Linked DNA regions of Danio rerio. The main gene of each other region encodes a partner of the protein of the gene in region 2 in a complex. Links are inferred from orthologs where the notes say so. Each region holds a gene or a part of one and is shown on either strand. Other genes may lie near its edges.

Region 1 (3,294 bases), on a different chromosome or scaffold from region 2:
ACGGCCGTTAAATTACAGACATTTACCATAAAATAACGGCCATTAAATTACAGACATTTACTGTAAAATAACGGCCATTAAATTACAGACATTTACTGTAAAATAACAGATGGCAAATTACAGACATTTACCGTAAAATAACAGATGGGTAATTACAGACATACTGCAATTTAATTGCTATTATTACTTTAAATTACACAAATGTGTCATTAAAATTATAAAACTGACCCAAGATCAAGTAAAAACTAGGAACGTTTTTAAAAAGTTCTTGCTTACAATAAACCCATTCATGGGTTCATCGGCCAAGAATGAAGAATTACCAAGCTTGAAATGTTTTGAACCAGTTGTGACATAACCAAGCCCAGTTTTATGAAATCATGTGACCTTGGCCTTGTTTGATACATGCTCCAAAAACCACTGATTTGAAACAATGTTTATGTTTTGCAAATCTGCCATCACTACTTTGACGAACAGAAAGCTGCTTGCTTTGAAACGAAAATCTGTGAGCCTGTTTTATGTTCATTATTACATTACTGAGACAATGCCAACACACTTCTTGCTTGTTCAAATACGAATTTCGCCACAACAAGTACTTTATATCATTCTTTATTTCTATCACAGACAAAGTATAACACTGTACATTTAATTATTATCATTTATTTTTTGCTCGGGCATCATCCTGTTTAACATTTACAGGTACAAATATTGTCCTAGATGTTTTTGTAGTAGTGCCATCAGATGATCTGAGACAGAAAGGTCAAGATATTCCAAACCCTGCATAAAACTTCTGCTCATTGGTCCACTGAGGCAACTGAATCTCTTCAGGAGGAACAGCTCCTGATTGGTGGAAGAAAGAAAGGCTGGACATTGTCTTCCATTATACAGTGAGCAGCTCACAACTGTACAAGCCAACAGTCCTAAAGCTGATCTTCATCGGAGGTAATATTCAATGGCAGCAGAGAAGGCAGCAAAGCCTCCACAGCCCAGAACTCCAGCTTTAAGGCCGGCTAGAGAAGAGAAGCACAGCTCATTGAAATAGTCCAACTTATGATAATAAAAATGAGATGATATTTAAATGTGGGATGTTTAAAAAAAATAAAATATAATCAAAAAAGACTTGCCTCTGAATCCGATGGCACCTCCTGTAATACAGCCACTGTATACTGCATTCTTCCAGTCAGACTTCCCACGATGCTGGTAAAAAATAAAAGCATTTTTCAGAGAGAGAAATAAAATGGCCTTTGAAAAATCTCTACAATGGACACTTTTCACATTTCTGGGTTTCTCAGTAGTGGAAGTCGTCATGGTTGGGTAAACTTGGAGCGCAGTGAATGGGAGCCAATCTAGAGCCATATATACATGCAAAATAAAAGAACGTTTTTTTGAGCAAAAATAAATAAACGAAAATCCCCCAAACGGGGGAAATAAGTTTTAAGAAATAAATATGAATTTTGCAAAAAAAAAAAAAACTGCAAATAAATCAAGCAGTTAAAAAAATATTTCACTTTGTGAAAAAAAGGGGAGCAGAGTCAAGGGAACCTGGAAGTTTATGGCAGGCCCAGACCTGCCTCCATTTAAGCGACGTCATCAGCTAGAGACACAGTATCACCGAGGTGGTCTTACAGCCAAGTAGCTCCAGCCTCTGCCCTTTGTCAAATTAGGGCCACAAAGTGAAACGTGCAGAAATGTAAAGTGCAAAATAAAAACAGCATCGTAGACTCACGGTTGACTAAAAAGCTAATCGAAATGAACATTGCAATTGACTGGACGGGTTTTGTAAAGGCTATGCTATCAAAGATGTTTTGCAAATATATTGTAGTTTTTTATAGCAAATATTTCCGTTTTTTTGCACTGCTTAACTTGTATTTGCAGTTCTTTTTTGTTTGCAAATTTCATTTTTATTTCTTAAAACTTCATTTTCCCTTTGCAATTCTTTATTTTTATCAGAATATTTTTACTTTTTAAAAAAAAAAAAAAATTCGCTTGCGATTTGCATTTATTTATTTATTTTTGCTCAAGACTTTGTTTTTGTTTGCAAAACTTTCTTTTATTTTGCATGTATATATGGCTCTAGATTGACTCCATATACAACAAATATTTTTACAATCTTATTTGCTGAAATAATAAAATGAATCTCCACAATGGTGTAATCAAGACTTTCAGAAAAAGAAATAGTGTCAGACTGATAATGACAGACAGTAAAGAGAACAACGTCCCGTCAAATGTACTGTCCCGTCCATAGACGCTCCATTACAAATGCCTCACACAAGCGGTAATTCATTTTTTGTAATTTGATGCAAAGATTATTTAATACATACATAAATACATATCCCTGCTGAAACAAAATGCTTAAATCAACCTAGGCTGGTTGGCTGGTCATGCTGGGAGATGACCAACTAAAACCAGCTTGACCAGCCAAAACCTGCAATGTCCAGCTTAAACCATGCTTGTCAATCTGGTCATTTTCCAGCCTGAACAGCTAAGAAAAGGCTGGAAAAGGTTCATGATGTTTTTTAAAAATCAAAATATTAAAAACTTTCAAGGATTTAAGATGGCGATGACCGTTAAACACATCATAACGAGTGAAATGAATAGATGATCAGAAAGTGTTCAAATACAGAACCACTAGGTGGAGACAATAATCCACATTAAACTGAATGTGCAGCAAAAGATGCTTCTATGAGTGGTGCATTTAATGTTTTAACTTTAGTGAAATATTCAAACATTGTGTACTATTTTATACAGTCTAAACTGATATATCATTTATGCTGATTAGTACGTGATATAAAACATAAACAGTGTGAAACAGGTTTGAATATGTACTGGGATTATGAAGTGACACACTAGTGAATATCTTATTTTGAACAGCTATCATCAAGACAAAAATTGAATGATGTCTATTTTACATTTACTAATATATTACAAATGTGTGCTATTCTAAGTACAAAAAAAGATATTTATATTATTAGATTACATTTATATTTGTATTAGATAATCCATGATCTATAGGAAAATTATCAATCATTAGCAGCTTTTTGGTACAGCAATAGTTCTAAAATAATGAAAAATAAATTGCAGACAGCCCAAAATAAGTTGTGTAGAATTATTATGAAAGTTCCTCCACTGACACATTTAAATAAGGAACATTATAGTCAAAGTCATTTTTTAAAAGTTGAGAAAGTTTTTAGGACTTTAAAAAAAACAGTCCCAAAATATTTTCTTAATTATTCTGTTTTAGTCAGCCAGGTGCACAGTCATTCTACAAGAGCATGCAGCAGGGATTTTTACCCATAC
Region 2 (3,498 bases):
GCGTGTCACCGCATCCCTAAGGACTGTTTGGCGAAATATTTGACTGCATGTCAACGCATAACAAACGACTGAAACTATATAACTAGAGAAATCTCCACTGTGCTGCTGAGTGACAGCGCTTCTCACTGAACAGCGCAGCATCGATGACGTAAGTGTGCCCAGGCCCGATTGTAGTGTGAGTGCAGGCCGTCGGGGGAGACAAGAGGGGGGACAAGCGTGCTTTGGCCCGGTTCGAGGCAACTGTACCTAGTGTGAGTACGGCCTAATTTAGACAACACAGCTTAAAATTAAGAAAGCAACTTTTCACATTTGTTTACCCTTTGTTTTCTGAAAATGCCATTTTAAAAAAAATAATAAAACCTTTAAATAACAATATTTTAGGAAAATTTTTTAAATAGAATTCTGAACAAAACAAATACACACAACATTATACCTTTGCCTAAATATTGTGTGAGTTTTCCTTCACTGACGGAGAATTAATCAACTTAAAAGACATTCATATTTTTGCTGAGCTGATGTAGTACTAATAATCCATTCACATAACACAATGTCAGCATATACTGCAGCTGTTTTAATGTACTTGTAGGCAGCAAGTCACACTTTTCTGCATATCTTTAGTGGTAAAATGTTTCTTTACTTGCATAAACACATTCTAATCATCATTCCTCGTCTTTAGTAGTACAAGAATGTCTCCTACTACATTCCTTGTTAACAGTTGATCCTTCTTGTATGAAAAACAGCATTAATTTTACCACGTCCATCAATACATTTATGCTTTGATGCTTTCTTTTCCTTTATCAGCTGTGTCCATGTCTTTCTGTACACCCTCTAACTCACTGCTCTCCTCATCCATCACAACAGCTTTCCATGAGTCCTCATGCAGCTTTTCGTTTCTTTCAGTTATTTGTGGTGATGGTGGGACTGTTGCCACCAGAGCGGGAGGAAGATGTTTGAACTCCTCCTCGTTTATATCAAAGTCCTTCATTTTATGATCAAGCACCCACCAGCGTCCCGCAAAGCCCACGTCCAGCACACGCTTATGCAGCTCGGACCAGGGCACAGAGATGGCAGAGCATCGCGCTTCATACAGGCTAGACTCAGCATCGTAGTCTGCGTAATAAGTCAAAGAGGCGATGCCCAGACTGGCATAGCGCAGCCTGCCCTCGTTTCGCAGCTTCACAAGGGTCTGGATGTGTCCATCTGAGGTGCCACTGCGTATCCATGGCGACAGGAGAGCTAGGCGGTTGGAGGTTTCCAGCAGGCTGGTCTCAAAGGAGGAATCATCAGGGTTGGTGTAACAGCAAGCGTACATTCCTCCCAGAACACCCAGGTAGACTGAAGCTTTGAGGGGTCGATCACGGGCCCCTACCACCGCCTCACGACAAGCCTCCTTATAGTCAGTTAAAAGACTGCGGAACCATACACCTGAAAACAGCCGAGAGATTAACAGAGTTTAGACAAACCATTCACTGCTGGCTAGACCTAAACTGCGTTTCGTTGCATTGTACTTGTACATGTGTAATGACAATAGTTTAAAAGTTTAATCGAATCTAAAATTCAGTTTATATAAAGTCATTTATTACAATTAAAACAGTACGTTCACTCAGATATTTTAATTACGTCTTTATATAGTCAGTTTTTTTTTCTTTAAACCTACTTAGTCTCTTTAGATATTTAGAATAATGCTGAAAACACAGTTGTGATTGACTATTATGGTATTTTCCCCATCTAAGAATATCAATGGCTTCCAATTGCAACATTTTTCAAAGTATCTTCTGCATTTTTTAAGGGATGGAGCTATATTTTAATTAGGAATACTACAAACTGAAATACATTCTTAATGCTATACTGTAAATCTGAATGAATTATAATAAAGTTATTGCATAAGTTGCTGCTGCGGTTATGCAGGTAAATGTTAACATGTATACATTACCCAGAAATCAGATAAATACAAGAAACTTACACTGGACTAGCGTATCTGGGTAGCTAAGGGTAATATCAATCTTATCTTTAATACTCATTCCAGAAATGGGGAAAATGATAAGCATTTAGTCTTACCTGCGCGACCGTTTCTTAGCCTTTCCCACCGTGTGCCCTTGGCTGTCACTGTAACGTTAGCTGCCGTGGAGCACCATCTCTTCAGCAGCCACGAGGCGGCCATGTTAGCAAATGAACTCGAGTAAGTGTGAAAGTTCAGAGTTCACGGTGAATGTGCACAGGAAGAGGTTTCAGCCGAGAGTTTCCAAATCTTGATAAACGTAATAGTGCTGCATGGTGAAACTGTTGAGCCAAAATGGCGAGTACACGGTACGTGAAATGTTATTGTTCCGGAGAGGAAACACAAAGTTCCTTGCCCCATTCCACCAAACAAAATTTTGCCCCGTTTTGTCAGTTATAACAGATGTCAATCGAAGGTCCATACGGACTAAGACATACACATTAATAACAGTATACTAACGCTACAACACTGAATAGAAAAGATAAAGTATGTTTAATTAAACAATACAATAGTTTGCATAATTTCAATCACATTAAGAAGAAAAACACAATTCCATGTTTTATAGCTAGTAATAATAGTTTATAGTAATTTTATCATATTATGCTCAGGTTGTTTTCAATTCCCATTCAGGTAGCCAACACACATTTTAGTTCCGGCTTTGTTCCGGTCACGTGATTGTGTTTTGACGCAGCGGAACCCTGCAGGTGACGTGGAATATGGGGACGATAACGCTAAATCCTTGTGTATTAAAACTGCATCAAATGATTTCTATCTGTAATCGAATCGTTTGCAGATATTATTGATCCCACTTAGCCAAAGGGTGTTACAAAACACCAGCCGAGCTGACAAAACGATTGTTTTTGTATTTGCTAGCTCGACACAAGCTGAATAATAGCAGCATCAGGAAACACACTGCTGGATTATCAGCCAGGTGAGTGAGTCAAGTCTAAATCTGTTCAGATTTCAGTGGTAACAGCTGTCGTGTGATTAAATTATTTGTAATTTACAGTCGTTTTTCCCTTGAAGAGTGAATTCGTATGATCTCCAGTCATGGCTAGTCCAGATGATTTAAAGTTTCAAGGTAAGGATTGTGTTCATCTGTAACGTTATGTACCTTACTGTTCAGGTGTCTCTGTTTTAATCTGTTTTAAGTTGTGTCTGTTGTTTTTCACATGTTCAGAGTTTGAAGAAGCCGAAGATCTCCTGTCCTCAAATCCTGGAGCCTCAACCCTCAGCATCTCCAGCTCAAACCCAGCAGCAGCAGCAGCCCCATCTGGAGAGGTCAGACTCGACCTGTCCGACGATGAAGAGAATCAGCAGGAGAGTTCAGAGGTGACACGCCAAACAAAACGGTCACAACATATCACAAGCAGCTAATTTAGTCACTCACTGGTTGTTTTTCCACATTGTGCAATATTCTCCACAGTTGCTTGGAGGGGAAAAGAAAACTGGTGGGTTTTGGACGTTTGAATACTATCAGTCGTTCTTCAACGTAGATA

Evidence for each region. Proteins that work in one complex are often made in the same cells at the same time.
Region 1: timm29 (region 2) and timm22 share a complex: the UniProt entries of both Homo sapiens proteins name them as parts of the TIM22 complex. The link is inferred for Danio rerio from reciprocal best matches to the Homo sapiens genes TIMM29 and TIMM22.

The regions. Positions count from the first base shown.
Region 1 is NC_133180.1:68,924,557-68,927,850, reverse strand, and holds the end of timm22 (mitochondrial import inner membrane translocase subunit Tim22), read right to left. Parts: intron 1,195-3,294; coding exon 1,122-1,194; intron 1,008-1,121; coding exon 931-1,007; 3' UTR 594-930; downstream 1-593. UniProt on the Homo sapiens protein: Essential core component of the TIM22 complex, a complex that mediates the import and insertion of multi-pass transmembrane proteins into the mitochondrial inner membrane. In the TIM22 complex, it constitutes the voltage-activated and signal-gated channel.
Region 2 is NC_133178.1:33,033,186-33,036,683, reverse strand, and holds timm29 (mitochondrial import inner membrane translocase subunit Tim29), read right to left. Parts: upstream 2,172-3,498; 5' UTR 2,162-2,171; coding exon 2,059-2,161; intron 1,426-2,058; coding exon 770-1,425; 3' UTR 551-769; downstream 1-550. Other genes in the region: protein YIPF2, read left to right, coding at 3,050-3,080, 3,180-3,331, 3,426-3,498. UniProt on the Homo sapiens protein: Component of the TIM22 complex, a complex that mediates the import and insertion of multi-pass transmembrane proteins into the mitochondrial inner membrane.